Canis lupus familiaris: one gene and its partners. The protein of the gene in region 2 interacts with the protein of the main gene of each other region in a biochemical or structural test. Links are inferred from orthologs where the notes say so. Each region holds a gene or a part of one and is shown on either strand. Other genes may lie near its edges.

Evidence for each region.
Region 1: the proteins of MAPK3 (region 2) and HDAC6 form a complex in vitro, tested with the Homo sapiens proteins (2 studies listed by BioGRID, with this or other methods). The link is inferred for Canis lupus familiaris from reciprocal best matches to the Homo sapiens genes MAPK3 and HDAC6.
Region 3: of the proteins of MAPK3 (region 2) and DUSP3, one has a biochemical effect on the other in vitro, tested with the Homo sapiens proteins (2 studies listed by BioGRID and IntAct). The link is inferred for Canis lupus familiaris from reciprocal best matches to the Homo sapiens genes MAPK3 and DUSP3.
Region 4: of the proteins of MAPK3 (region 2) and PTPRJ, one has a biochemical effect on the other in vitro, tested with the Homo sapiens proteins (2 studies listed by IntAct, with this or other methods). The link is inferred for Canis lupus familiaris from reciprocal best matches to the Homo sapiens genes MAPK3 and PTPRJ.
Region 5: of the proteins of MAPK3 (region 2) and GAB2, one has a biochemical effect on the other in vitro, tested with the Homo sapiens proteins (2 studies listed by BioGRID). The link is inferred for Canis lupus familiaris from reciprocal best matches to the Homo sapiens genes MAPK3 and GAB2.
Region 6: of the proteins of MAPK3 (region 2) and SREBF2, one has a biochemical effect on the other in vitro, tested with the Homo sapiens proteins (2 studies listed by BioGRID). The link is inferred for Canis lupus familiaris from reciprocal best matches to the Homo sapiens genes MAPK3 and SREBF2.
Region 7: of the proteins of MAPK3 (region 2) and ELK1, one has a biochemical effect on the other in vitro, tested with the Homo sapiens proteins (6 studies listed by BioGRID and IntAct, with this or other methods). The link is inferred for Canis lupus familiaris from reciprocal best matches to the Homo sapiens genes MAPK3 and ELK1.

What each region holds. Positions count from the first base shown.
Region 1 is NC_049260.1:42,219,282-42,223,152, forward strand, and holds part of HDAC6 (histone deacetylase 6), read left to right. Parts: intron 1-2,073; coding exon 2,074-2,200; intron 2,201-2,306; coding exon 2,307-2,372; intron 2,373-2,464; coding exon 2,465-2,524; intron 2,525-2,622; coding exon 2,623-2,712; intron 2,713-3,056; coding exon 3,057-3,163; intron 3,164-3,260; coding exon 3,261-3,328; intron 3,329-3,556; coding exon 3,557-3,722; intron 3,723-3,829; coding exon 3,830-3,871.
Region 2 is NC_049227.1:18,278,480-18,283,043, reverse strand, and holds the start of MAPK3 (mitogen-activated protein kinase 3), read left to right. Parts: upstream 1-1,441; 5' UTR 1,442-1,455; coding exon 1,456-1,628; intron 1,629-2,642; coding exon 2,643-2,825; intron 2,826-4,564.
Region 3 is NC_049230.1:19,403,304-19,407,748, forward strand, and holds the end of DUSP3 (dual specificity protein phosphatase 3), read left to right. Parts: coding exon 1-181; 3' UTR 182-3,605; downstream 3,606-4,445. UniProt on the Homo sapiens protein: Shows activity both for tyrosine-protein phosphate and serine-protein phosphate, but displays a strong preference toward phosphotyrosines. Specifically dephosphorylates and inactivates ERK1 and ERK2.
Region 4 is NC_049239.1:42,054,649-42,058,519, reverse strand, and holds part of PTPRJ (receptor-type tyrosine-protein phosphatase eta), read left to right. Parts: intron 1-2,392; coding exon 2,393-2,641; intron 2,642-3,871. UniProt on the Homo sapiens protein: Tyrosine phosphatase which dephosphorylates or contributes to the dephosphorylation of CTNND1, FLT3, PDGFRB, MET, KDR, LYN, SRC, MAPK1, MAPK3, EGFR, TJP1, OCLN, PIK3R1 and PIK3R2. Plays a role in cell adhesion, migration, proliferation and differentiation.
Region 5 is NC_049242.1:20,532,529-20,537,012, forward strand, and holds the start of GAB2 (GRB2-associated-binding protein 2), read left to right. Parts: upstream 1-1,313; 5' UTR 1,314-1,376; coding exon 1,377-1,451; intron 1,452-2,108; exon of another isoform or gene 2,109-2,439; intron 2,440-2,686; exon of another isoform or gene 2,687-4,484. UniProt on the Homo sapiens protein: Adapter protein which acts downstream of several membrane receptors including cytokine, antigen, hormone, cell matrix and growth factor receptors to regulate multiple signaling pathways.
Region 6 is NC_049231.1:24,434,365-24,438,235, forward strand, and holds part of SREBF2 (sterol regulatory element-binding protein 2), read right to left. Parts: coding exon 3,856-3,871; intron 1,591-3,855; coding exon 1,398-1,590; intron 761-1,397; coding exon 579-760; intron 1-578.
Region 7 is NC_049260.1:41,470,150-41,474,761, reverse strand, and holds the start of ELK1 (ETS domain-containing protein Elk-1), read left to right. Parts: upstream 1-1,706; 5' UTR 1,707-1,856; intron 1,857-4,612. Other genes in the region: protein UXT, read left to right, coding at 156-219, 426-479. UniProt on the Homo sapiens protein: Transcription factor that binds to purine-rich DNA sequences. Forms a ternary complex with SRF and the ETS and SRF motifs of the serum response element (SRE) on the promoter region of immediate early genes such as FOS and IER2.

The DNA of each region.
Region 1 (3,871 bases), on a different chromosome or scaffold from region 2:
TTCAGCTCAGGTCATGATGTCAGGTCCCGGGATAGAGCGCTGTGTTGGGCTCCATGCTGCTTGAGATTCTCTCTCTCTCTCTCTCCCTCTCCCCTGCCCCTCTCCCCACTCATACTCTTTCTCTCCCAAATTAAAATAAATAAATCTTTAAACAAACAAGCAAGCAAAAAAAAATAATAACCCTCCTGCTGTTTGCTTTGTTTCCTTGGGTGTTCATTCTGCTGGTTCTGGTGGCTGTCATGAGTTTGGCTTTCTTCGACTATTTTCTTTATTCTTTTCTTCCCCTGATGATCATCTTTATATTCCACTGTGGTTTTCTTTTTCTCTACTGGTTAACTTACTTTAAAAAAAAAAGTTTAGAACTGATATTTATCAGAGTCAAAAGTAAAACAGTCGGGCCCCTAGGAGGCTCAGTCGGCTAGGCAATCTGCCTTTGGCTCAGGTCATGATCCCAGAGTCCTGGGATCGAGCCCCCAAGTCAGGCTCCCTGCTTGGTGGGGAGTCTGCTTCTCCCTCTGCCACTCCCCCTGCTTGTAATCTGTCTGTCTGTCTCTCTCTCTGTCAAATAAATAAAATCTTTTAAAAAAAGTAAAACAGTTATCTCCCACCTACTCAAGATCAGAACTTTTGCATGGGTTTCATTGCTCGATTCCAAGGTGTTTTTCTTGGATTTCAAGAATCTATATCAGTTGCATCAATTTTCACTACCACATTATCAGCACTTTTTAAAATGTGACTAAGTTGGTTTAGATTCATTGCTTACCGCTATTCCTTGCATTTCTCTGAAGAAAGATAAAAACTGTTGCCTTAAATTCTTAAACAGGGGCAGCCCCGGTGGCCCAGTGGTTTAGCACTGCCTTCAGCCCAGGGCCTGATCCTGGAGACCCGGGATCCCACATCGGGCTCCCTGCATGGAGCCTGCTCCTCCCTCTGCCTGTGTCTCTGCCTCTCTGTGTGTCTGTCATGAATAAATAAATAAAATCTTTAAAAAGTTTTTAAAAAATTCTTAAACAAGACAGGGAGTGAACAGATGGATGGATGGAGGAAAGATTATTCATTTTGATTGCCCTCATCAGAATTAAGCCCTCCTACAGCCTCCTGCTGGGCTTTCTATCAGAACATAGACCTTCGTGCCTTTTCAGGGTCTGTTCTGTGTCTCTCTGGTGTATCCTCTGTCCTCACTGCCCTGAGTGCTCAGTGTCTCACCTACAAAATACAAGTAGTAGAGGTGCCCTGTAAGGTACTGGAGAGAAGGAAGGGCCCCTTCACTGGCCTCAGGAAGCCTCAGCCACCACCCCCACACATATACAGAAACAAATTTCATGCCCCCTAAGCCCTAGCCCTCAAGGTTCCCCACATCCTTCAGGGGAAGCACTAGGCTCTCCAGCCTTGCCTGCTCTTTTCTACGTTAGCTGGCTCCTACCAGCTAAGAGCCGTATGCCTCCCTTGGGTCTCAAACATCACAGAATCTGTCCTGCTATCACCACCTTGGTCACGGGGGCCCGTGGGGCAGGCTGGTATGATTTTGAGTCCCCTGCTGGGTCAGAAGACCTTGGGGACTGGGCTAGATCCCATCACTGTCAGGGTCTCCCAAGCTAGCACTGAGGAGAGTACCAAGTGGGTTTTTTTTCTTTTAAGATTTTATTTATTTATTCATGGGAGACAGAGAGGCAGAGACATACACAGAGGTAAAAGCAGGTTCCCTGCAGGGAGCCTTATGTGGGACTTGATCCCAGGACGCTGGGATCACCCCCTGAGGTCCTTTTTTTAAAAAAAATTATATTTATTTATTCATGAGAGACAGAGAAAGAAAGGCAGAGGATACCTGTGTTTTTGCCAGTGAGAAAGTGCACGAATGAGTGAAGTGATGGAGAAACAGGAACATTCGTGAATGGGAGGGTGGATAAGTTGGTGACTAAATAGAATGAATGGATGTGAGAGTTAAGGAGTTAGTGGGGAAATGGATGAGAGAATGAATGAGTGGCCAAGTCAGCTGGGTGCTGTGGGTTGGGGTGTCTGGGGCATTGACTCTCAACTGCCCCCACCTCTTTTTTCCCCCCTCCCTGCCTCCAGCGTCCTCTATTTCTCCATCCACCGCTATGAGCAGGGTCGGTTCTGGCCCCACCTGAAGGCCTCTAACTGGTCCACCATAGGTTTTGGCCAAGGCCAGGGATATACCATCAATGTGCCTTGGAACCAGGTCAGCGTCTGCCCGCCCTACACCCCCAAAGTCAGGCCCCACCCTGCCCTTCAGCCCGTTTCGGGGCAGAGGGCAGAATGTCTCCATTGTGCTGCTCTGTCTGCAGGTGGGGATGCGAGATGCTGACTACATTGCTGCTTTCCTGCGCCTCCTTCTGCCAGTCGCCCTTGAGGTCCTGGGGGTCTGGGGTGTGTTGGGACAGGAACAATGTTGAGGGATGGGCCGTGAGGGCAAGTGGCCTCATGTAGTCCCTTTCCCCCTCAGTTCCAGCCCCAGCTGGTCCTGGTGGCCGCTGGATTTGATGCCCTCCAAGGGGACCCCAAGGTAAGGTGGGCTGCCTGGGATGGTACGTGGGCAGAAGGGGGCTGCACCGAGCCAGGCTGATCCTCCACACACATCCCACACCCCCTACCCCCACCCAGGGTGAGATGGCCACCACTCCGGCAGGGTTCGCTCAGCTAACCCACCTGCTCATGGGTCTGGCAGGAGGCAAGCTGATCCTATCTCTGGAGGTGAGTGACTCCCTTCAAGTCTCAGCCCGTCTATGGATCCATCCAGGAGGACATTAGAACAAAGCTTTCAGGTTAGGCAGGAGTCTGTCCCAGCCCTTCTGCTTACTAGCTGGACCACCTCATCTAAGTCACTGAACTTACTTGTACCCCCACTTGCCTTGTGCAAAATGGGCATCATAACTATGGTGATTGCCTCCCTGCACTGTTTGGTGAACGAAATGGAAGTCAGCCTTCATTTTCCTTGTTGCTTGCTGTGTAGTCAGCACCCTAGTAGCATTACTGCTGTTCTTCCTTCATAATGCGTGGCTCTTTCCTGATCCCCGCCCCCCACACTCCTTTCCCAGGGCGGCTACAACCTCCGCGCCCTGGCTGAAGGTGTCAGCGCCTCACTCCACACCCTTCTGGGAGACCCTTGCCCCATCCTGGAGTCTCCCAGTGCCCCCTGCCCAAGGTGAGCACCCTAGTGGAGGGTGGAGGAGGAGAAAAGTGGGACCCGTACTGCCTGCCCACTGGCCATCTGATCACATTTCCCCTCCCCTGCCCTCTAGTGCCCAGGCGTCACTCTTCTGCGCCCTGGAAGCCCTGGAGCCCTTCTGGGAGGTCCTTGTGAGATCAGGTAGGAGGCAGGGAGGGGGCTAGGTGGGGAGTCAAGCATGAAATGAGCCCTTGAGAGAGACTCTCCCAGACCCTGCATGACTTTTCCTGGTAGGGGAGCGTCAGGCCCTCTCTCGCCTTGGACCCTGGTTTCAGGCCTCTCACCTCTTTTATGTTTGGGTAAACTGAGTTCCAGAGCATTACAGGGATCTGAGGTCCGGGGAGTAGAGTAAACGGCCTCCCTTTACAGCTGAGGCCCTGGAGGAGGACATCCTGGAGGAGGAAAAGGCGGAGAAGGAAGAGGAGAGACCGTGGCAGCCCTCAGTGCTCCCAGTTCTGACGTGGCCCATGCTGCAGGCTCGCACAGGGCTGGTCTATGACCAGCGGATGATGGGTCACTACAACTTGTGGGACAAGTATGCAGTTGGAGGGCCACTGGCTAAATGGACAGGGACATTCCTCCCACCTTTCTGAAGCACTAAGCCCTGTCTCTGTTCCTTGCCCACCCCCACCCCAAACCCAGCCATCACCCAGAGATGCCTCAGCGAGTCTTTCGGATCATGCG
Region 2 (4,564 bases):
TTAATCTGAATTAGAGTGCCTGGCTGTAGATCTAATTATGAGCAATTTCAGAATCATAATTACTGTTCCATTTGGTCTCTTGATCTGTAATGCACATAAGGATCTACTCTTAGCTTCTAAGGGATTATAAAACAAACAAACAAACAAAACCCAACGTGGTTACTTACTGAAGGCTAGGAGATGTGTTTTGTGAAGCGTCCAGCTCACAGCTTCTCTGTGAAGTGAGGGGAATGGACTGGATGGCCTCGGAGGGCCCTTTCCTGGGTTTTAACAGGCTCTGATTCTGGGAGATTGAATGGAATTGAAAAGAGCCTCTGCCTCTGTGTCAAAAGATATCATTTTAAGTCTCAACTCCCCATCCATACAATTTGATTTATCCAGTCAAAAATCTTTGAACGTCTGAGCGTCAGGTACAGGGGAGGATACAGTAATGAGCAAGACAGACATGGCCCCTGCTCATCCTGTTAAGAAAATCGGAGGACACCTATAATGTGCGGTTGTCCTATGGAAGAAACCCAGCTGGTCCAAGTATGGTGTAAACTACAAAATCTTGCATCCCATCAAAAGATGGTGATCCTGCCAGGATTCCAGTTTCACCAAGTCCAATGACAACAAAATCGTCACCTATTTTGCTGTTTTTTGAGAGAAGCCTGATAGTGTATTTTAACCAAACCTGGTCAACACTGCAGGCAGCTTTCCCGCCCTTCTGTTGCAGTTCCACCTAAATGGGCTGAGGTTATGGGTGCTCACTTCCAGCACTGTACTGTCGCTGGCAAGAGGCCAAGCCCCTAGTCCACTCTCGCAGGCCTGTCAGAAACCCATTAGGCTGAGTCTGGACCTGCGGGTTCTCGGTGGCTCCAAGTCACCAGCCTCGGCCCCTCATCTGTGAAAGGCAGGCCGTATCTGCGAAGAAGCCATCTCCCACGCTACTGGGAAATGCGGATGCGGCCGTGTGTCGTCGGGCCGAGCCTCGCTCGGAGGCCACACTCCAGAGGGCTGGGGAGGGCCCCCTTGGGGCTCCATCTCGAGCCCCGGGCCGCGACTCGGTTGGCAGCAGAGCTGGCGGGGCCAGGCGACTCGGTCCCGGCCCCAGCTCCCGCACCCGCTTGCTGGGTGGCTCCGGGAAGGTCACCTGGCGGCCCTGCCGGCTATAGCCTGCATTCGGCGGGAGGGGTGCACCGTCTCCCGGCCGCCGCGCTCGTCCCTACGGGCTGCCAGCAGCAGACGGAGCGGCCGGGCACCGGGGACCCGGGCAGCAGCCGAGGGCGCCCGGGAGCGCGCGGGGGTCACGTGGGGCGCGCGGGGGCGCGCGGGGGCGCGCGGGGGCGGGGCCTGGCGCACGCGGCTCAGCCGGCGGCGGGGCGCGGGGCGCGGGGCGCGGGGCGGGCGGGAAGGGGCGGGGCCTCGGGCGGGGCCGCCGGGGGGAGGCGGGGAGGCGGGAGGGGAGGAGTGGAGATGGCGGCGGCGGCGGCGGCTCAGGGGGGCGGGGGCGGGGAGCCCCGGGGAGCCGATGGGGTCGGCCCGGGGGTCTCGGGGGAGGTGGAGGTGGTGAAGGGGCAGCCGTTCGACGTGGGCCCGCGCTACACGGAGCTGCACTACATCGGCGAGGGCGCGTACGGCATGGTCAGGTGAGGGGGCGTTCCGGAGGAGGGGGCTCGTGGGGGGGCGCGCGCGAGGGTGAGTGCCCTCGGGCCGGGGCGCTCCCAGGGTCCCGAGGAGGCGGGGGCTTCACGAGGCCGGCGGGGCGTCCCACGGCGCGGCCCTGGGGTGCTCTGGGGGAGCGGCGCCGCCTACGTTCTAAGGGGAGGGGGCTTGGGAGGCCTCAGGAGCGACCATTCTGTAGTGAAGGGAGGGGCATCGGAGTGTCCGCGGGGGAGCCGTGGGGGGACCCTGGGGACTCTGTGGACGCGGGAGGAGGCGGAGACACGAAGTATTCTTGGGGAGGTGATATCAGTGAGGACCGAGTGAAGGACCCTACTCTGGGGAAAGGATGCCTTGGATTCTCCCAGTGAGGCCTGCCAAGGAGCTGGGGAGAGCAGAGCTCAGGGCTGGGCAGGGTGGGGCAGGGCTTTGGGCCTGGGGCCAGGAGCCCGGTGACCCATGAGGGGTCCAGGGGTGCGTTCTTGCAACTTTTAGAAGGGGTCTGTTAGCTCTCTCGTCCCCACTGTGTGCTCTGGGCCTTTGTTCATCTGGGAACAGCTCTCCTGCCCAGGTGCCTGACCCTAACACCTCATCCCTTCTTTCCCATCCCTCCTGACCGCCTCCTTCTCACTGTGCCTCACTGTGCGTCCTGCACTCACCTCCCACTCCCTGGACCTGTCTTGGGTTGAAGGAGCCCAGCCTGGAGAGGGGAGGATGAGAGGTCAGGGCAACTAGAATGGACAGGGCTGAGGAGAGGGGAAGTCAGTGAACGGTCAGTCTCTTCCTCTGTTTGTGAAGTCACCGAAGGGCTGCCTGGCTGGTCCCCAGCTTTCTCCCTGGAGATCCCAGGCCTTCACAGCAGGAAGGAACCAGCATTGTTTATGACTTGGCCAGAGTCCTCTCATGCTCCCTCCCCTCCCTGCTCAGGCCTGGGTAGGGCCACCAGGCCTGGACTCCCCCTATGTAAGGCCACACCAACAACATCTCTCTGACCCTCTCAGCTCAGCTTACGACCACGTGCGCAAGGTTCGCGTGGCCATCAAGAAAATCAGCCCCTTTGAGCATCAGACCTACTGCCAGCGCACACTGAGGGAGATCCAGATCTTGCTGCGCTTCCGCCATGAGAACGTCATTGGCATTCGGGACATTCTGCGGGCGCCCACCCTGGACGCCATGAGGGATGTGTATCCTTCACCTTGGCCAGATGGCTGGCTAGGCATAGCCTCAGAGCCGGGCTGGGAGAACGTTGGCTTTCTTTCTGTTTCCTTCTTTCCTGCCACACTCCAAAACAAACCCAGCAAATGAAACTTTCCAGCAGAAAAGAGACCACAGAGTGTAAGAGGACTGGGAGGCCTGAGGTGAATCCTGGCCTGCTGTAACCAGGCTGTGTGGCCTTGGGCAAGTCTGTGCTCCATGCTGTGCCTCATTTGGGGGGAGGGTGAGAGTTGGGCTCTATGGGAGCTTTGTCTTTTGACATCTGCATTTCTGTGACGTGACCCAGCCTCTGCCCACAGACAGTTCTTGTTTAACAGATGATGATTCTTTCCTCTCTGGGTCTGCAGACTGGAAGGAAGGCAGGAAGGAAGAAAACTGCCCGTTCTGAAGGGCCTACTATGAGTGAGGTGCAGTGCACGCCAAATGCTTTGACACTTCTTATTCTACCTCCCAGCTGCTGTATGAGATGGGTCTCATCAGCTCCATTTCAAAGATGAGAAAACTGAGGCTCAGAAAGCCCCAAATCAGGTGCTGCTGTTGCTGCCTCCTAACCTCCCCCAGATGAGAACTGTCCTTTCTCTGACATTTCCTGCTCAGAGCCTCACCCCAGTCACCTGTGGACTTGCACTTCGCCCAGGGAGGGACAGCCTTGTCTTTGTTGCCCTCCCCCCCCCACATTGCTTCCCTAGCTTGTCGTCCACTTCCTGTCAGGCCCTGTTGTTAGCAGCTTATAGCACCCATCACCTCTCCCCACCCTACCCACCCCCAGCCAGTCCCAGTTCTCCACCCAAATGTGGGGATTTGTGCTGCACTGTCTGCAGCCCCCACCACAAGCTGTGGGCAGGAAATCTCCACACTCGCCACTAGCTTGCTGTGTGACCTTAAGCAAGTCACTGCATCTTGCTGGGCCTCCTCACCTCTCAAACAGCATAATCGGCCCAGGTGTCTTCAGAAGGCTCTTTCAAGGCTGATTCTAAAAGACAGCCCTGACTTATTCTTTCAGAGAGCAACCAAATGGCATTTATTTATTTATTTATTTATTTACTTAACGTATGTTTAATCTTTGTTTTCTCTTAAAATACCAAAGGACATTTACTCTTCCATCTTCTGATGTATGGCCAGGCACTCTTTGAGGAGGAGCATGCTGTTGGGAGTTTCTCCTCATTTGTCTTGCCCAAACCATTCCCCATAAGGCAGGCATTTATTTTTAAGCAAACATTTATTGCATGCCAGATGGTGTTCACACTATCTCATTTAACCCTCTCAACAGCCATGTGGCTTAGGCATTTATCATAGCAACACTAGTTCATGTTTGCTGAGCACTTACAACATGCTAGGCTCTGGACTGGGCCGGCTGGTTTCCATGGGTCACCTCACTGAGTCTTCATAACTGCTTTCCAAAGAGCCACTCTCTCTCCCCTGCTTTCCACATGAGGAAATGGAGGTGCAGATGGGTTGAGGTCATGAGGCCAATGAGCAGTGGAGTGGGGGTTTGGCCACCAGCAAAACAAGTCCAGAGTGGTTGCTCTTAACCGTGAAGCTTTCCTGCTTCCTGCAGTTTATCATCCCTGCTTTTCCCAATAAGGAAACAGAGGCCACGGAATGGAAGTACTTTTGTTCAGGGGGTGCCAGCCGAGAATGCAGCAAGAGGCCCTGAGCCCAACTGCTGAGCTTGGGCCTTGTCCAGCTCATGATATGGGTTGAGTCT
Region 3 (4,445 bases), on a different chromosome or scaffold from region 2:
AGGTTACAGCCGCTCCCCAACCCTAGTTATCGCGTACCTCATGATGCGGCAGAAGATGGATGTCAAGTCTGCCCTGAGCATCGTGAGGCAGAACCGTGAGATCGGCCCCAACGATGGTTTCCTGGCCCAGCTATGCCAGCTCAATGACAAACTAGTCAAGGAGGGGAAATTGAAACTCTAGGGCACTCCCGCTGCCTCTTCTCTAGCGGCAGACAGGGGAGGCCCTGGTCGAGGTGTCCCAAGCCGCCATGTTTAGGAAACACAGTGTACCCTGCTCCCAGCATCACCAGGCACTTGCCCACAAGTCTGTCCCAACACAGCCCTGGGCCACCTCCCCCCTGGGGAGCGTATAAAGAAGCTTGCTAAGGAAGGCATTTTGCTCTCCGGTGTGTCCCGGGCTTACAGTTTCTGATGTCTTCTCCCTGAGGTGGGGCACGGAGGGGGAAGGCCTGTGACATACATGCTCCTCCTGGATGACCCAAGGCAGGAGGTCTGTGGAAGGATAAGGCTCGAGATGCCCAGTGGGGCCCCTCCTGATGTCCGTGGCCCCCCTGCCTCCCTCTCTGGCTCCCTACGCCCCACCCTGGGGTCCCCTCCTGAGTGGGGACCTCAGCACCTCGAGCCCTGTAAGGGAACTATGCAAACGCAGGCCCCTCTCTCCCCTCCGTGCCTGTCTCCCCCGGCTCCTCCCAGCTGCCCACACTTTGCTCATAGGCAGAGGCGCATTGTGAGGTCTGAAGCTGGTCCCCCGGCCAGCAGTTGTTAGTGGGTGGAAACTCCCATGAAGAGACTGCATCTTAAGTATTTCAGTGGGATTAAAGAGACCCAAACAAAGAGGCCGTCAGGTGGGCAGACATTCCCCTGGAGGACTCCTGTAAGTCCATAGGTTTGTTAAAATGTGAACCTATGGAAGGCTTGCGTTCAGAATTCGCTGCTTTGGAATATTTCCCCTGGACTGCTCTCAGAAGAGCGATGCCTCAGGCGTGGTTTTATTTTATTTTATTTTTTTAGAAAACAGGGTGTTGAAGTTCCAGCCTATTTAAAAACCCCACCATTTGAAGAATTGCAAAGGTTTTGTCCTGAATTATAGCGTTGGTGAGCTCAAGCCACTCGTGCTAACTGCTTTTTGTCTCCGTTGCTATTTCAAGGACAGAAGGAGGGAGTTAGCCAATTCCAATGTGGGTGTGTGGGTGTGTAGGGGGGTGTGTGTCTCAGAAGCACAGCCAGAGGATGGAGGAGCAGGCTCTCACCCCGCCCACTTAGAGGTAGTGCTTTTGGCTCTGCCGTGCCAGGAAAGATCTGGGAGCCCTGGGAGCAAAAATGACTCAGCCAGGCAGAAATGAAACACAGTGGAGCATCCGAATGGAGACTTGGCTGGTGGCAGAGCAAAGAAACCAGAACAACCCTTTTTAGGACTTTTAAAGGATGATGTCAGAATGCACTAGCACTCACGCTCACACGTGCACGCACATTTGTCAGAAAGTAGGAGTTTTGATTGAAACCCAGTCATATTAGGACTTTAGATGATTGTCACCATGGAAAGTGATGCATTCCTATCATCTTCAGGTTCCCTGACGGAGAGGTAGTCCTCAGCCATACCCCCAGCTCTTAGCACGCAGAGGTCTAAAAAAGTTTCCAGAATAAAACACTTCTTTTGAGCACCAGATATTTGCAGGGTGGTATTCTGGTGGGTGTATCAAGCTCCCATAAACCCGAATTCGTGGTAGGATCACTTGCAAGGATTTGCAAAAGGGATTTTACCAGAAGCGAAAAGCCAAGGACTTCTGTTAGGTATATAAAATTCACTTTTAAATTTAAATTCAGGCAGTATTAACCTGTTGAGGTGGGGATTGTGCCTTTTTCAGAGTTGACCAGGGGCTTCTGGCTAGACAGGGAGAAGCAGGGTGCCGCAGGGCCTCCCTCCGAGGTGTAATAGCCTCTCTTGCCGCAGGGTCAGCAGTGCACAGCCTGGACATTCCCCTGCCTCTGTGACCACAGCCACCCCGAACAAACTAGGATCTGTCGTCTCTTCCAGATACCGGACTGCCCACATACACCCCCCTCAATGAAATGGCCATCCTCTGACCTGTGTACCTCACTTCACAGTTCCCAGAGAACTGTCCCATTCACACTCACTTGATCCTTTCAGTAACCCTATCAAGTTGGTAGAGCTTATTCATGTATTGTTACCTTTTAAGAAAAAGAAACTAGGGTTCCAACTGGTTGAAAACATGGTGCCTGGGCTGTCCCAGCTCCAAGTTTGCTGCTCCCTGAAGTTGAATTCCTTGTCCCATACTACTCTCCTCAAGAAAGGAGGCCCCTGGGAGTGTCCAGGTGCACTGCACATGCCCTTGACCCAGCCCGTGTGCACAAAAGCCAGATAACTTTGTGGATGGAGTACAACCAGCCAGGCTGTGGTGAGTAGGAAGGTGACATGTGGCTCTTCCTCCAGGAAACATCCCTAAGTTGGAGCTTTCTGTTCTACTGCTGGAAGAGCCCTAGGGCTAGGGCTCCCCTTCCCACACTTAAGCAGTGGTCACCCCCCAGGGTAGCTGCCACAGCTACTTAGACTAGTTAACCAGGACCTCTTGAAGTCCTTTTTGTGGGGGCAAGAGGGAGGAAAGGCGCTTGGGAGAATTACTGCCTTTACTTTGGGACTACTTTTATGCTGATAACTTGGGATTTCTTGGTAGTCTTTGGTCCCAGAAACCCTATATTTACTTCATGAGATTTAGCTCCTAATTTTTGAGTAAAATAAAATTCTATTGTAAGAGCCAGCACATGCCCAGCTGCGAGTGGAAGCTGTCTCTGGACAGCTTTCTACACCCTGGGAGGTGATGGAATAGGAACTCAGGGTGCCCTTACCCTCTCCCCTGACCTGATCCCTTTCTTTGACTAGCAGACCCCCACTTAGGTGAAATTAGAGCACCAAATGGTTTTCTTCTCAAATCTAAAGCAGTACACTTTCCACAGGCTGGTCTGTTTCCCTGCCACTCTGAGTGATCTGGAGAGCAGAGATCACCATGTGTCAAACAAGGGGACTCCTCTAGAAGACCTCTAAGGTCCCTTTGGCTCTGTAGGGTTCTCTGGAGAATCCCCACCTGGAATTTACCACCACCTGGAAATCATAGGGTATGTAATATGATGACCAGCAGGTGGCACTGTGTTCCACCCGTGGTGATGGTTTGAAAGGGAATGTTGGTGCCTTCTGTGTCACAAGTTAATGTTAAGATGCTAATGTTTTAATCAAAATAAGCACTGATCTTAAAATAGGAAGATAGGAGCTTTCCTCTCGGGAGATTTTGTCATAAGACCGGTGTCAGGACCCGCTGAAGAGCCAACAGTACTGGTCTCGCCAAGTCAAGATTTTATCCTGCTTGGAAATAGAGCCCCTCTCCATTTGAGAGAGCAGAGTGGTTGAAAGCTTAACTTATCTCCTGTCAGCTTTCAGGGCAATTTGATTGTGAAAGCATTGAGTTTTCTGGATAGAAAAGCGGAAGGTATTAAATTGGTTTTAAAGGAAAGTAAGTTTAATGTCTGTTGTATCACAAATCAGTGTTAAAACACTAACTGTAACCAAAATAAATGTCTTACATTACATAGAAGCGGCCTTTTTTATCCTTCTTGTCACAGCTGATTTTCCTTTATGCTCTTATGTTTGCTTTTTTCTAACTTTTAAAAATAGCGTCAACTAAAAATTAGCCCTCCCGAACACGTTCTCAGTTCCATGATGATTATATTTACACGGTAGATGTTGATTAAACATCTTGCCAGTACCAGAAATTTCCCATGACAAGAATAATCTTTTTATTTATTTAATTTCTAAAAAAAAATTGCAGCTTTTTTGAGGGATAATTGACTGGAATATTCTTGAATAGAGAGCCCCATCCTGTTGAGGGAAGTAGATTTATGTTCCTAAGAAAGGAGATACTAGGGATGACAGTCTCATGGTGGCCTCACATGAAGATGATTAGGTTGCATTTTGAGTTTGAATGATCCTGCAAACGGGCAGCCCCCAAACCTAGCCCTGCCCTCAGATGTCTTAAACTCCATTATTATTAGCATTTATCTCCCTTATAATAAGCACTGTTTTTTTTTTTTTTTTTTCTCTGAATAAAAAGACTCAGAGTTCGGTCCCTTTTCTCCCTGACAGAAAAAAAACAAAAAAACAAAAAAACCTCTTTCTTGGGCACCTGGGTGGCTCAGTCCATTAAATGTCTGCCTTAAGCATCTGCCTTCAGTTCAGGTTATGACCTCCAGGCCCTGGGATCAAGTCCCACATTGGGATCCCAGAGGGAGAGGGAGAAGCAGACTCTCCTGAGCAGGGAGCCCGACATGGGGCTCAATCCCTGGACCCTGAGATCATGACCAGAAACAAAGGCAAATGCTGAGCCATCTGAGCCACCCAGGCGCCCCTAAATAAAATCTTTAAAACAAAAGAAAAC
Region 4 (3,871 bases), on a different chromosome or scaffold from region 2:
TTTAATTAAATTAATTAAATTAATTAATTAATTAATTAATAAAGATTTTTATTTATTTATTCATGAGAGACAGAAAAAAAAGAGAGAGGGGGTGGGGGGCAGAGACACAGGCAGAGGGAGAAGCAGGCTCCATGCAGGGAGCCCAGTGTGATACTCCATCCCGGGTCTCCAGGATCACGCCCTGGGCTGAAGACGGCGCTAAACCACTGAGCCACCGGGGCTGCCCCCAACAGACAGTCTTAAAAATCCTTGGCTATTATTGGCTAATATTTACTTTTCTCTTAAGGCTTGGGAACAGAGACCTCATTAGACATGTTCTTTTTTTTTTTTTTTTTTCATTAGACATGTTCTTGATGGTGTCAGTACTTAGTAGGCTTCTCTTAACCTCTGCAGGAAAGTTGATGCTGGTTTATATTCTCAGGAATTCTTTCTGGGCCTGAAAGTTTGGTATACTTTTTGAGGAGTGTGTGTTTCAAATGAAGTAATAGCCCTGTGACATTTGGTAAGGTTGAAATTTTTATTTAGCTTAGATGTCAGTACCCTTAGCCACGTGTTATAGCTGCAAATTTAGCTTTCTCTCTCTTTCTTTAAGCTGGAAAGAACTAAAAATATAAAGAAAAGACGGGAAGCTCTTTTTAAATCGAAAAGAAGCAAAAATTTATAAACGAGATCCTCTGTTGCTTTTCTGATCTGGAGATGTAATTTTTTGGCTGGTGAGGGCCACAGAAGCTTGACCTCCTGGAGCCCATGGTTTGAAGTGACCACCTGCCTAGCATAGCACCTTCTGCACATGGAACAAGCAAACCAAACCAGGGGTTTTCAGTAGGTTTTTAAAGCCAGGAAGCAATTTCTTTTTTTTTTTTTTTTTTAGCAATTTCTTTAAATAATAAAATCTTGCCCAGAAGCCCAATAAGTGAAAAGAACTGGAGAGAGAGGAGCAACGGGGGTGGGTGTCATAGGTACCTTCAAAAAAACTCTTGGAGCTCCTCAGAGAAGAGTTTTTGAGGCAAAAAAACAAAAACAAAAACAAAAACAAAACTCTTATGATAGAGGCTTGCTATATTATGAAAGAGAGAAGAACAGGAGGAGAGGGCAGGGAGAAGATAAAGAGAGTGAAGGAGGAAAAAGAAGACTTTAGCAATGGCGATGGAGATCAGGTTACACAGGATTGGTGGCTATAGGAAAGTGGAGGTGGAGAGGGAGCAAGAAGCTCCCAGGAGCTGAGTGTCCTCCCTCTACCTGAGGGAGGACCTACCTCCCTGGGACAAGGCTTTGTTCATCAGCTACTATTTATTGAGCACATACTATGTGCTCAGTTGCTCTTTATACATTGTACTGTCTTCACACTAACCCCAAGGGCCACAGTGAAAAACTGTAATGCCAAGGAGTTGGGATTCTTCGAGGGCTCAGTTCTTGAGCATGAAGTGGTAGGAACCCAGGGGGCCTGGCTTCAGAGTACTAGGCAACTCTGAAGCTGGCAATAGTTGGTTACCCCAGGTCCTTTCGCTGACTACTTTTTTGGTGTTACATTTCTTTCCAAAAGAAAAAGGACACAGGAGTGATCCCATTTAGAAATCTTGGCGCCCAAGATGTTTGATGTGAAGAGTAGACTTCAGGAGGGGATTAACTTGCTTTAGAGCCAGCCACACCTTCCACTTCAGCCCTGCAGACCTCAGGCAGGGATTTACTGAATCCCCAACATTGCTGGTGGTACATGTGCTCAGAGCTGGAGCCTTGGGTTCTGATTTCCCTGACGCCACCAGTGATGTGTGTTCTTGAGCCAGTCACTCCGCCTCTCTGTGTTTCTACCTTGCCCTCTCTAGAATGAAGGGAGCAGACATCATGTTGGCTGAAATGTCTGGTTTATGTCACAGCCAGCCAAATAAAGTGATGAAAAGAGTGGTGGGGGGTAGATGGGAGACATTCTGAAGAACCCCTTTGGGGTTGGAATACAGGGATGAGCTCCTCAGTTGAAATGTCCGGGTGCTATGAAATGATACGATTTGTATTATCTTGACTTGAGACCTTTAGAAGTAGCAAACTATCACTTTGTGTGGAGCTTTGCTCCCAATGCCCAAAACAAAGATGATTCAATGCTGCTGTTTGACAGTTTTGAAAACTGTTTCGAAGAGTGTCAAATCACTGTTGAAGTGAATGTTGAGGGGAGTGGGACAGACCCTCAAAATCTTTGGCTCCTAGGTGTCTTCTTTTCTCCATAATGCTATATATATTTGTTCCTGCTGTGAAATGATGAAATTGCACTGGACCCTGATATCAAGAAAATATTCTTAACGGGTCATATGGAAAAATATCAGTGACCCCAGTCATTCTTTGTGAGGAGTGACTGCAAATGTCTTATTCCATCAATGCCCATTGTGTGTTTTTAAAATAGAACCAAGTCCAGTTTCTGGTCTTCATCTTGCCCTCCTGGGTTTCACGCAAGCTACTCTTACCTGGAAGAATGCCAATGGCACTGCCACCTGTCGGCTGCTCCTTGAAAGCATCGGAAGTAGTAAGGATTTGACGCAAGACTCAGTGGTCAATATCTCAGGCCTGATACCAGGAACTCGAAACAAGTTCACCTTGTCTTTCTCAGACCCGAATGAACAGAGAGAGTCCTCGGTTATAAATAGTAGCTTAGGTGAGTTTACAAAAGTGTGCTTCTTATCTGCCTTGCTGGCTTTGCCTTTCAGTAACATCATAGTTTGAAGAAATATCATTCTTCTATTTGTCCAGGATTTTAGAATTTATAGAGAGGGCTTTCCTTCACATTTTGGTGCGACCCTACATTTGTATGAAGAAGGTGGGGTATGTTCTTCTTTTACAGGTCAGATCATTGGGGTTCAGAACGGTAATGGGGGTTGGAACTTTTTGAGTCTGGCATCCCAGAGAGGAGCTGGCCCCTTTAGCTTTATGAACTTTCAGCAGAATGAATAACAGATGTGTTAATTCGAGTAGGGCTATGGGAGGAACTTGCCACATCCATTGAGAAAAGGGATGCTTAGCAAGTACTTCTAGCAGACATCTACTGCATTGCCAATGGAGTGGCCATTTGCAGATGTTAAGCATTTTCAGAGGGAACCTGGTGAATTGAGAAGAACCTAATCCCCATTTTACACATAAGGAAACAGCTATACAGTGGGTGTTAGGATTCTTGACTGCAAGTGACAGAAGCCAAACTTTTAAAAAAAGGGATTTTCTTTATTTATTCATGAGAGACAGAGAGAGAGAAAAGAGAGGTAGAGACTTAGGCAGAGGGAGAAGCAGGCTCCCCTGTGGGGAGGCCCAGTGTGGGACTCCATCCCAGGACCCTGGGATCGCGACCTGAGCTAAAGGCAGATGCTCAACCACTGAGCCACCAGGTACCTCTAGAAGCCAGACTTTAAGTAGTTTGGGCCAGAAGAGCAACTTATTGGCTTGTACCTATTTTCCCACAGTGGACAGTAAGGCCTGTAGGAAGGAGATGAGGTGACTCCCATGTCCTCTTCCTCCTTCTTTCTGTACCAGCCTCATTCTCAGAGCAGCTCCTTCCACTCACCTCAGGGAGAAACCTAGCAATAGGTTCCCCATTTTACCCTCTATCAGAAGGGGTATGGCCCAGGGGAGAAATTCCTAGAGCGGGCTCTGATCAGCTAGGTTTGAGTCATGTGGCTGTCCCTGGATGACCATGTTTAGAGTTGGGTGGGAGAAGATTTCCTGAAAGAAGGGGAAGAGCGGAAAAGAGCTGAGCTGGAAAGAGAAGCACAGATATCTGGTGGTACCTGGGATAAAAGTAGAAAGTAAAATATCTGCCAAAAATTGAGGCCTTTTGAGGAGGATGTTGTATCTCTCTCGGGGGAAGGAAGGGAAGAATTTGTGGAGTACTAGCTGT
Region 5 (4,484 bases), on a different chromosome or scaffold from region 2:
TATTTCAGTTAAACCGCATCACAACGCGGCGAGAGAAGTATCGCTGGATTCCAGTTTTCGTAGGAGCCCCAAAGAAGTCTTGTAACCTGTGTCAGCGAGTTGGAACTCGGGGGAGTTTTGGCCGTAGTTTCTCGTTCTGCACCACCTTGCCTTCCAAATCGCTACGAATACACGGACTCATTTTTGCTTCGATTCTTTACATCACACGAATTTTCTTCTCCTGAATTCGTTTTCCCAGAGGCAATGCGGGGAGCCAGCTGGACTTTAATTCCTGGTAGTAAGAGGCCCCCACGTCGATGTGTAGACACTAAAGCAATTATCCCACTTTAAATAGCAGAGGAGCAAGCCCGGCCCCGGCCCCTGCCCCTGCCCCGGCCCCGGCCCCGGCCCCGGCCCCGGCCCCGGCCTAGAAGCTCGCCCGGCCGTCGCACAGGCCCTGGGACTGACTGGGCTCCGCGGAGTGGGGATGCCGCGGCCGGCGCAGCTCCTGGCCCAGTTGGTAGCTTCGCGGAGACACCCCTGTGAACAAGGCGCGTGAAGGCGCCGGGCCCCTAACACTGTGCTCTCTGCTGCTCCCGCCCGGGGGTGCGAGAGTTCATGAAACTCTTGCTGGGAAGCGGAGCACCCGTTTCTGCCAGAACCGGACCCGCTGAAACCCGAGACTCGGGATGGATCGGAGACGCGAGCGGCCGCGGGGTCCCCCGCCTGCCGACCCCCAGGGAAACTCGGCCTGCGGCGGAGGGCGCGCAGCCCCGCCCCCTCCCCGCCCCTCCCCTCCCTCCCCGCCCCCCTCCCCGCCCCCCGGGGCGCGGCGCCTCGCCGGCTGGCGGGGCTCGGGGCCGAGGGGAAGCCGGACCCCGGGGCGCGGCCGGCGGCGGGCTGCGGCGGAGCACACCCGGGCCTCGCGGGCCCCAGCGGCCGGCGGCGTCGGCGTCCCCGGGGCGGCCCGCAGGGGGGCGCGGCGGCCGGGGGCGTGGCGAGCGCGCGCCGCCCTCTCCCTGCTGCGGCGGGGGCGCGCGGGGCGGGGGGCGCGGGGGCCGGGGGCGCGCGGGGCGGCCGGGCGGGGGCGCGAGGCCGGGGCGGGGGGCGCGGGGGGCCGGGCCGGGCCGGGGGCGCGCGGGGCGGGCGGGGCGGGCAGGTGGGGGCGCGCGGGGGCCGGGGACGCGCGGGGCGGGCGGGCGGGAGCGCGCGGGGCAGCCGGGCCCGCGCCGCGCCGCCTCGTCCTCGCCCCGCGGCCGCCGGGCGCCCCCTCCCCTCCCCTCCCCCTCCCTCCCTCCCCTCCCCCGGAGCTGCGCACCGCCGGCCGGCTGACCCAGCGGCCCGCGCCCGCGCCCTTGTCCGGCCGACCCCGCGGCGGGCTCCAGGCGGCCGGCAGCATGAGCGGCGGCGGCGACGTGGTGTGCACGGGCTGGCTGAGGAAATCGCCCCCCGAGAAGAAGTTGAGGCGCTACGTGAGTGCGAGCGGCGAGCGGGCGCGGCCGCGGGGGGCCGGGGCGCGGGGGCCGGGGCCGGGGTCGGGGTCGGGGCCGGGGGCCCCGGGAGGGGCGGGGCGGGGGCCGGGCTGTCGGGGGCGGAGGGCGGCGGCCGGGCAGGTGGAGGCTGCGGGCTGGGGCTGCGTGGGGCACCTGCACACCTGTCACAGGTGCGCGGCCGAGGGGCGGAGCGGGCGGCCGGGCAGGTGGAGGCTGCGGCTCCCTCTCCGCCGGGCGGCACCTCCCAGCCGGCCTCCCCGTAAACTAAACAGGGTGTTGAAGTTTGCATTGATTGTTTTCGGAGCCCGGGAGAGTTGGTTCCCGGGGCCGGGGGACCGGAGCAAGCCCGGCGGCCCCGGCCTGCGGGGGAGGGGGAGGGGGAGGGGGCGCGGGCGCGGGCGCGGGCGGCCCCACAAAGGGCGAGGCGCCTCACACCCTTTCCCCCTTCCCTGTCTCTGCCCGCCTCTCCCGGGGGCGCCTGCTTCCTCCCAGGGCACAGCCTCTGCATCACGGGCAGCGTCAGCGGCATGTGCAGCGCCTGTATTAAGTGACTCATTTGTTTGTCCCCCGTCTTTCCCTTTATTCTGTATGTCTCTCACATACACCCCCACCCCACCCCACCCCACCCCACCCCACCCCACGGGGGTGACACTGCACTTTGGCCTGGTGCAAGCGGCCGGGGTTTGTGCGGCCTCCGGTGCCCGGGGTCGGGAGAAATCGAGGCGCTCCGTTGCCAGGTGGTGGTAACCGACGGTGTTTACCGAAATTGCTGGGACAGCCTCTCCCTTCTGGGGGAGAAACTGGCGACGTCCGAGGGAAGGTGGTACCGGTACCGTCCGGAGCGGACCGGTGGGAAGCCTGGCCAACCACCACCCCCTCCCCAGGCGGTGCCTCCCGGGGTCAAAGTACAAGATGGTGCTAATTACAAATCAGCCCTGGGCTACTTGCAGACGTTTGGAAGTGGAAGGTCGGTAAAAGGTGTCAAGGTCTCCCCTGGGCGCCCTCTCCACTTCCTATGAAATGCCCTTGTTTCCAGCGACTCTGGGTGCTGGCCTCCCAGGGATCATTCCCACAGCATGAAAGTGAGCTGTGGCCTTCCAGCTGCAGTGCATCAAGGGAGCTCGGAGTAGACCCTGCCCTGCCCTCCCCTCCCCTCCCCTCCCCTCGGTCAGCTGCACCAGGGGCTGTCCGTGGGGGGAGAGGCAGAAGCTTACCAGAGTTTCCTGTCTTGGCTCCCCAGATCAGAACGGAGGGACTTCTGGCCTCTGGATTGAGGAAGTGACATTCTGTTTTTCAAAGGAAGTGTTGTTGGGGAGTGCAAATGTGTGTGTATGTAAATGAAAGCAGGCTCTTATTTAAATCACTTGCTGAGAAGACTCTTAAGAATTTAACAATGACTTTTGAAAGTGGACCGAGATTCAAAACGCAGCACGGAGGAGGCAGTCAAGTGTTCACCCCAGTTCTAAAGCCCACTTTTCGGGGATGCCTGGGAAGCCGAACTCCATACGATTACTAAGAAAGAGATTTTTCCCCTTTTCACAATCAGCTCATTAGGAAACGTGAATTTTTATATAATGTTAAGGATGAGTAATTTGCTATTAATGTTTATATATATATATATATATATTTTTTTTTTTTTTTTTTAATGAAACAAATCTTTGAGCTTCTGAAAACTATTAGCAAAAGTGTACTAACCTACCGACTGGTGGAATAGAGTATCCAGTGAAAATGTGACTGTTAATTTTCAAGTTAGAACACTACCCTAAAGAGCCTTGAAACTGTTTTTGATACAGTTTGCAAACTGTCTGACACCTTATCTGTGTTCAATGACTACTCCAACTCTATCACCCAGACTCTTTATGACCCATTTGTTTGGTATTTTTGTTCTCGAGCAACTTACCTCAGGAAAAAACAAAAACAAAAACAAACAAAAAAACAAGTTTGGAGGCTTTGGAGTCAAGCATCTTTTTCACCCATCTGCAGTACTTGACACCCTACAGTCATAGGATGACCTCAGCCTCTTTCCCATCCTCCTTGTGGCTCTAGCCCATAGACATCTGATCAAGCTAGTAACAGCTTTTCTTAGGCTTCGGGGTGATGTGTTCTATTGGTATGCCTGGAGTCTCCCCTACTGTGGTAGTTCAATTCTCTTAGTTGAAACTGAGCCGATCTACCTAACCCCAGACTCGAGGGGTTAGAGTCTACCCTTACATCTTATTTTCTTTTTGCGAGTGGAGAATTTTTGCGCCTTGTTTTAAGTTAGAACTTTGCCAGTTCCCTGTGTTCATTTAGAGACCCAGATTATTCATTAGAATCAATCTAGGAGGCAAGTAATTTCCAGCTCTGTTGCTAAACACACACCCCAAAATAGCTGCTTATTCTCATGTATACCATAGGTATGTGGTATTATGGATCAATAAGTCTTCATTGTAAGAATATGTCAACCATCAGAGGTAAAGACAAAAGAAGCTGATGAAATGGATTGCAGCTACTTATAGTTAATTTTAAAAACTTCTCTCGAATGTGAGGAGAAGGTAGGTTTAAGGGGGAAAACCATTTAAAAGAAGCCATGGCAAATATTACCTGGGATCAGGTTTAGAGATTTTTTTTCATCATTTTTTTCCAATTAATCATAAGAAAATGTAGGGATCTATTCAGTATTGCTCTGAACATTGGGGTAATTACAAAAAGTGACCTCTGGGAAGTGGTGAGTGTTGCCTCTGGGCCATGGTGATATCTTTGCAGTGCAAGGCCAGCAGAAGGAACAGCCCTCCCATCGTGCTGTAGTATGCCTATATATGAGTGTGTGTGCATACACACACACACACACACGGCTGAAGCCAGATTTTCTCAGAGAAAAACATTTTATGACTTACACTGCTCTGTAATTTTCTATTAGTTTCAATAGATTTAGGGGAAAAGATTGGTAGTAACACTGCCCTCTAGTGACTATTTGGAGAAAATTGTGTACTGGTTCTAATGAACAACTGCACCGAGGAGACTTTATTTTTA
Region 6 (3,871 bases), on a different chromosome or scaffold from region 2:
CTTCTTTCGATGCTGTGAGTTGCCCCAGAATCCTTCCTATAAATTCTTTGTTGATTTCAACAGAAAACTTTCAGCTAATTTTTCTGCTCAAAAACCTTCCTGGATTTCTCCAGAGAACTGGGAAAAAAGCCCAGTTACTTCGACTACTAACTCCAATTTGGGCCAGAGATACAATATCAGCCTGAGACCTCATTTGTCCCAGATATATCCTGCACTCTGGACATACCTGTCTACCTGCTGGTCTCCAAGTACCCCATCTATTCATGACTTCTCCACCTAGAAGGTCCTTCCTGCTTCTGACCGTGTGGCTCAAGCCCCAGATCCTCTTGACCAGAACTCGTCCCTTCTGTCTGAACTCCCGTAGAACTTTACTTTTCCTCTGTCATAACCCAGACTATAAATTGATTATCTCGTGTTCATGCAATAATTTACACATAGAAGTCCTCTCCTCTGCTGCCTATGACCATCAGGGGCCAGGTCCCTTCCTACTCTTATCACCCACAAGCACCTACCACAGGGCATATTTATATACCAGGGTATTCGATATAAGTTGCTGAGTTATCAGCTGCAGAACTTACCCTGGCGAGGTCCAGGTCGGCCTGCTTCCGGTGTCTCCAGAAGGTGACTGAGGAGCGTGAATGTGGCCGGATCACTGGCTCTCCATGGACCAGCAGCTTCACAAAGACGCTCAGGACAATCACACCATTTATCAGCCATAAGAGAAGCGTTGGCATCATCCAATCAAACCAGCCCCCAGAACCTAAAAAGGAAGGTCTCCACTGAGCCCATGAGGAACGGCCTCCTAGAGCAGCCCTAGGGGACTGCAGGGCATCTGACTAACCCCCAGCATTTAACAGGTTAGAAGCCTTCTACCTCATTTTCAGAAGTGTGTGTAACAAGATTGCTTCATTTAGTAACAATGTCTAAATGCTTTCCATAAGAATAAGACATAACCTTAATCCACACAATAGGCAAATCTGGAACAGTTCTGTAGCCTAAATAGGAGCCCCGTAGCCCCTATCACTATGGAACTAGGTACCATAGCTAGATAACAAAGATAGCAAAAATCACCGTCAATCAAGGTGGGTTTGATTAGACCACTGATTTCATGACTCGGACAAAAATATCACATCTCCTTCAAATAGGTACCCTCCCTTCCCTTATCCCCAACCCCTATAATAATAGAAGTGTAGGTTCCTGATTTCTTCTGTTCTTACTGACGGAGCTTGGGTGTGCCCTGTTACTTCCAAATAGGGACTTATGCCAGTCCCTATCAGGCCTGCTACAAAAGCCCTTTGGAACCTGGTGGATAAGCTGAGCAGTTTGTACACATAGGGCCCATCTCCTGTCACAGCTGCCCACCCACGCTTGGGTGGTACAAGGGGTCCTCTGCCTACCTGACTCAAGTGACAGGATGCTGCGGCCAGAGCCGGAATATGGGTGCTGGTCAGAGCTGTGGGCCCCTCCCCACTGCAACAGGGCAGTCAGGGGGTTAAAGGAGAGGCAGAGGAAGGTGAGCACACAGAGCAGAATCCGAGAGCGGTCCACCATGCCCAGCGCCACGGGAGGAGAGTCTGGCTCATCTTTGACCTTCAAAACAGGGCCAAGAGGTTGGAATTAAATACTGCATGGGTTTTTATAGCATTTTGCTTTTATATGAACTGGAGGCAGACCATGAGATTTAAACTTGAGACTACAAAGTCAGACGGGAGGGCAGCCTGGGTGGCTCAGCGGTTTAGCACTCACTGCCTTAGCCCAGGGTGTGATCCTGGAGACCGGGGATCGAGTCCCACATCAGGCTCCCTTCATGGAGCCTGCTTCTCCCTCTCCCTGTGTCTGTGCCTCGTTCTCTCTCTCTCTCTCTCTCTCATGAATAAATAAATCTTAAAAACAAACAAACAAACAAAAAAACCAAAGTCAGACAGGAAAAGCATGGGACACAGGTAAGAAGCCCATAGCTCTCCCTCCGACTGCTTCTCAGACACTGGAACGCTCATCCTCTTGCCACCTGGGAAAAGAATATGTTCCGAAGACCAGAGGGAGAGGAGTCCTGTTTATAAAGGAGAGCACAAAAGAGAACGTTCTGCAGGATTCTGTTTCTGTTTGTTTTTTTTTTTAATAAATGTTCAATATCTTTTTTTTTTTAAGTTTTTAAAAAAATTTTTATGTATTTATGATAGTCACACACACACACACACACACACACACACACACACACACACACACACACACACAGGCAGAGACACAGGCAGAGGGAGAAGCAGGCTTCATGCAGGGAGCCCGACATGGGACTCGATCCTGGGTCTCCAGGATCATGCCCTGGACTGAAGGTAGTGCTAAACTGCTGAGCCACCGGGGCTGCTCTTCTGTTTCTGTTTAATTCCATAACAGGCAAGCTAATCTAATCTAAAGTGACGGCAATCAGAGCAATAGCTGTCTGAGGCTGGAGAGGGGTGTGGGAACTAACTGCCATGGTGTATGAAGGAGCTCTGTGGGTGATGGAAGTGTTCTATATCTTGATTATAGTGATAGTTATATATGTGTATACCCTTGCTTTTCAAAACTCCTCATACTGTATGCCACTACTTCATGCTACTGTAAAATAGGGGTTTTATCTCATGTAAATTAAACACCAACAGACCTGATTAAAGACCATACAACTGGGGTGCCTGAGTGGCTCAGTCAGTTGAGCGTCTGCCTTCAGCTCAGATCATGATCTCAGGGTCCTGGGACTGAGCCCTATGTCAGGCTCCCTGCGCAGTGGGGAGTCGGCTTCTGCCTCTCCCTGCAACTTGCGTGTACTCTACTCTCTCTCATGGTCTCTTCTCTCTCTCTCAAATAAACAAAATTTTTACCAAAAAAGAAACAAAACAAAACAAAACAAAAAACCATACAACTTCAGTATGGATCTATTTACAGGAGTTTGCCTGTGGTAAAACCAGGAGGCTGCTTTTCTTCCCATCCCCGTCCTACAGAGGGAGGACTGGAGAAAGGAGCCCTGTCTGCCCAGGGTGCCCAGAGAGAGAGGCAGGGAGGAAGGCTGGAGCCAGATCTCTCCCAACTTCCAGTGTGCACATACTACACCACTCCTTTTCAGTATTTTAAAGCCATCTGAAAATTTCTTCTGATGACAGATGCCTAGCTAATTCAATGTATACATCATATGGCCTTCTGTTACCAAACAGAATCACATTTACAAAGTATTTCACAAACAGAGCTTCGTCACTAAGATTAAGAACATGATACTATAAACAGTTTGATCAAAAACTCAGGCTAGAAGGGAAGTTTGTGCTTTTGAAGTTAGAAATTGCCAGTGGCCTCCACGGGTTCCCAGGACTACTAGATCATTAGGCTTGAGCCTCTATTGGCTAATTCCATTAAACCACAATTGCCAGGGGCTTTCTTTGACGATGAAAGGCCCTTGGCTGGAATGTTATTTGTTAGACTGGAAACTGTAATCATTTCCAGAAGAGGGCCCAGAGGCAGCCTTGCCCTAAACCAACCGAGCAACATCAAAAAATGGTCTTGCCAGGCCCATTATGAGTGAGGGATGTAATGAGGCGCCTCCGGCAACTCCTAGCACCCGCATGACAGCTGCTGTGTGTTCCCATTCTGGATCTGGCCCTTATTCCTCTCAGATGGGCTCTTTCAGCAAGGACCAGTTAAACTGGACTACACTGAACCAGTTAAGTGGATTTTGTGGGGGACACAGTAGGACCTAATTTCACAGAATTCCTATTCTCCTGCCCCAGTCCTCTCAACACCTGGCCTGCCTCCCTATCGGCAGCTTCTCCACAGTTAACTTAGGAGATATGGGAGAGATTCCAGGGATCAGAGGATTTCAAAAGCTCATACCTTTGCATCATCCAAC
Region 7 (4,612 bases), on a different chromosome or scaffold from region 2:
ATCTCTGCATAGGAGCAGGTCAAGTAGTAACATGTCCTACCACCTGCCATGTGGAAATCATCCAGGACATAGGCAGTTCTTGAAGTGATGAGGAAAAATCATCTTCATGAGCCTAAGTGTGGCCCACTCGGCCCTTTCTTGTTTCTTTTCTCCAGGCTCAGCGACAGCCTCACCAAGGACTCCATGAATATCAAGGCCCATATCCACATGTTGCTAGAGGTGAGAGTACCTCACCCCATTCCCAGACTCTGTCTCCAAATGTATTCAGGGTGGTGTGACCCGACGAAGGGAGAGAGCCAGGGATGGGAAGGACCATTTTCCTCTCTAAGCAGGAACCAGGCTGGCTCTGAGGGAGGGGAGGTCAGAGCAAGCCTGGGCTGAGGCCTAGACAATCTCTGTTCAATCTCTTCTATCCTTTTTTTCAGGGGCTTAGAGAACTACAAGGCCTGCAGAATTTCCCGGAGACACCTCACTATTGACTTCTTCCCGCCTCCGTAGACATTAAAGAGCCTGAATGCCTTTGAGTCACATGGCCCTTCTTTCCCCACCTCAACCCTTTGCTGTTTGCTAAGGTGCCCTGTTTCTAAAGCACAAAGTTACCAGGAACCCCAGAGAGCCAGTCTCTATGTGGAACCTTTAAAGCACCCCTGAAGTCCCGCCTCCAGCCTGTTGCCTGGCAGCATTTGCCACTTGACTTTCTGCACTGCCCTCTTTTCTGTCGCCTTGGAAACCTGGGCCTCCCACCTGACCCTTTTATCTTCCTGGACGTAACTGTCTTAATCATAGAGAATGGGCTGATTCAGGGTGGAGGTTTGTTCCCAAGACAATCAGCCTTTCATTCCTGGCCCTAAAGTTTGCCCCTCTCCCCCACCCTAATCATTACTGGGGTACCTTAGATTACACCCACGCCCGTCTCATTCCAACCTTGGCCTCACCCGGCTTCTAACTAATTTCAGCTTCCACCAATGGGCGCAGAGCCTGATCCCGCCCTACCCCGGCCGGCCCCTATTTTAGGTTGAGTCTAGCTTCCGCCAATCATTGCAGAGCCAGGTTCCGCCCCCTTATAACTGGCTGAGGCTCAACGCTGACCTCCTCGTAGGCTTTAGTTTCCGCCACTCAACGCTCCTTTGCGTGCCTGGCCGCTGTCCAACCCTATCTCTGCTCTGTCCTAAACTCGTCTTTTCTACCCAATCACGATAGAGTTATCCTCCCACCTACGCACAGTCCTGGCCCGACCCCCTCCCAGCCTGCCGCTACGCCCACTTCCATATAAGTCCCGCTTCCGCTGAGCAGCGTGGAGTGCAGCACCGCCCAGTTGGTGTTTTGGCAGCTGTCTGGAGTCCCTAGTCCGCCAATCAGTAGAAAGCAGAGTCCATCCGCCCCTATCCTCGGAGGCCGTCTTCCATGCAGGCCAATTATTATCAGGCAGGCGCCCCCAGAATCTTGTCAATCGCCCACAGGCTGTCAGCCTTGGGCCAATCAGCGTGAAGCGCCAGCGGGGCCCAGCACGCCCCCTCGGAACCCAGGCGGCTATCTGCGTTCCATCAGTTCTCCTCGGGCCAATCATGGCCTAGCTCTGCGGGGCAGGGCCCGCCTCCCCAACCCTGGAAGCCGCGCGGTCGAGCCAAGGCGCTGTGTCCAATCAACCAGCCGCGGAATGCTCGGCTCCTCCTCCAGGGGCCCACGTGAGCCGTGAGGAAACGCAGGGGCGGCTTCTAGGTGCCGCCGCCGCCGCCGCCGCCACCGCCGCCACCGCCGCCACCGCCACCTCGGAGCCCGGGCCTGGGGGGCGGTGGGGCTGCGCATGGAGCCCCCGCCCCCCGGAGCTGCCAATACTGCCACTGCGCTACACACAGGTGAGCCCGGGGCCTGGAGGGTGGAGGGCCCGTCCGTGACCCCACGTATCCTTCCCGCCCCCGCGCGAGGGATGTGGCTTGGCCCATGGCCTGCTGGTGTTCAACTGCCCACCGCCACCGCCACGGCTGGTGGACCTGCCTGTGGTATTGTCCCCTCCCTTCGCCCCTTGTAGTCGATCTGACCGTGGCCTGACCCCCCTTCCTGTTTTATAATGGATCGGTCTGCGTGCTTATAGTTCTCCCCACCCCACCTTACAGTGGACTCGTCCGTGGTCCTGCCCCGCCCCCACCCCCACTTAGAGGGGAGCAGCCTCGGGCATTGTCCCTCCTTGACAGAAGGTGCATCTGACTGTTTATTTTCTCCTGTCCTCAACTTTCAAGGGCCCCGTCTGTGGCCTTGTAGTTCTGTTCCTTGTAGTGAATCAGTCCATGGCGTGTTGCACCCCCCCCGCACCCCCTTTAACAGTGAGTTAATCTGTGAAGTTGTATTCCTGCCTCCTCCAGTCCCCCAGTGCATCAGTCCCATGGTTTTATCTTTTACAGTGTATCGGTCTGAATGCTAGTATCCACATCCCTTGTCGTTATCAGCCCATTGCCCTAGCCTCTTTTTTTTTTTTTTTTTTCAGACTGTTTCTCCAGCCCTTGGGCTTCTCTCTTCCTTTTAATAGTGGGTCAGTTTCGTGTTTTTGAACTCCCCATTTTCAGTAGCTCATTCCATGGCCTTGTTCCCTTCTCCTTTTAATGAGTCCGTGTGATGGCATTTCACCCCATCTACTCTTGTGCAGAGTAGATGCCTTTCTGCTCCCCTTGCCCCCCATAAAGAAGATGAGCCTTTGCACTCCCCTCCACCCCCGCCTTTGCAGTGGATCTGTTCATTGGCCTTCTTGTTCCCCATGTGCTTGCATCCAGGCACACACCCCCATACCCTCCCCTGAGTCCAGTGCTTTGTAATCTCTTCTCCAGGAGGGTGCTTTTATTTTGTCCCTCCTTTCCTTGTGGTGGATCAGTCCATGGCCTTCCCTGCTTCCTCTCTTCTTAATGGTGGATCATCCTGTGTGCTTGTTGAACCTGGCTCTTTTTTACTCTAGAACACATCCCCCTCGTACACATCATTAATCCCTAAGACATTCTGCCTCACTGCAATAAACGGATGCATTCAAGATAGCGATAATGCCATTAGGAGCTAACGTTTATTGAGCACCTACTAGGTACCTGGCAAAGTGCTTTATATCCATGACCTCATTTCGTCCTCACCACAATCCTGTGAGACAGGTACTCAGGAAAGTTCGGCACAAGGGGCTCAATACGTTATTCAGAGGTAAGTACCCAGTTAGGTTGCCCCTCAGAACACAGAATAATTTTTGAGGATCCCCTTTCTCACTTCATCCCATGCCACATGAGACCCCACTCCTTAAAAAACAAAGCACCTCCCGTCTCCAAGCTTTTGTTTTTGCTAGTTTCCCCCCCGCCTGCAGAGCTGTCTCCATTCCACACTTTTTCTCAGCACCCATCCACCCGCAATCGCAGCAGCCATATGATCTGAGTGATTTAACCACTTTCTCTCCGCACCTGCTTCCTCATTTGTAAAATGGAGGCATCAAAACCAGAATCCCCTCCAGTGTGAACATATCTGAGAGTTAATAAGACAAGTAACCTCTCTGGCTGCACCTCCTGCACCTTGTCCCTCCGACTCTGTTCCAGCCATACAAAGCTCCTCACTCATCCTCAAATCAAACACGCCAGATACAGCCCAGCCTGAGGGCCTGTGCATTGGCTATATTTTCTACCTGGAATAACGTCGTTCCCCTGATCTGTATGTGAGTCCTTTCAGAGCTCTATTCAAATGTCAGCCTGCCCCTGATCATCTGAACCTACATACTTAACAGGACTCAGGTTCCTTCTCTGCAGTAGTGGTCCCCTTTGCCCTTCATCACTATCAGACACACTGTGTAGTTTACCAGTTCACTGTCCCTCCCCATTAGAACAGTCAGTCCAATGAGGGTTTAGTTTTTTTGTCTGCTTATTTACTGCTGGGTAAATATACTTAGTATATACTAGGTGCTCAATAAGAATTTGTTGCATGCATGAAGGTGAAAAATATTATTTCAGACAAATCAGGGTGCAAGGGGAGGGAAGGGTTGGAGATGAAGAGGGTATACGAAAACTAGCTAAAGAAACTAGTTGGGACTGTTCGTTCAGCAAACACTTAGCACCTACTGAGTACCAGGCACTCTTCTAGGTGCTGGGGATATGGGAAGGAACAGAACAGGCAGAAATTCCTGCCCTTGTGGAGCAGACGTTTGCTAAAAGTGGGGGAGACGGACTATATAAATAAAACAGTAAGTAAAATTAGATAGTATGTTAGGCGCTAAGGAGGAAAGTGAAGTCGGGAAGACAGGGAGAGAGTACGGGAGTGATTGAAATCTTGGGCACTGGGCAGGCCTCACTTAGAAGGTGACCCTTGAGTTAAGGCCTGAAGGAGATCAGGGAGGAAGACAAAATATCTAGGGGAAGAGTGTTCTGGAGGTGGAAGGAACAGCCAGTGCAAAGGCCCTGAGGTGGGACTGTGCCTAGTGCATTCAAGAAACGTGAAGGAGGCCAGTGTGGCTGGAGCAGAGCAGAGGGCGGGAGGGAGGCAGGCAGGCAGGCAGGCAAGCAAGCAGGAGGCAAGGTCAGAGCGGTGATGGGACCCAGATGGTATAGGCCATGGTGATACATAAGGTTGGAGGCTGGTGGGAGGGTGAAGGCTGATAGAC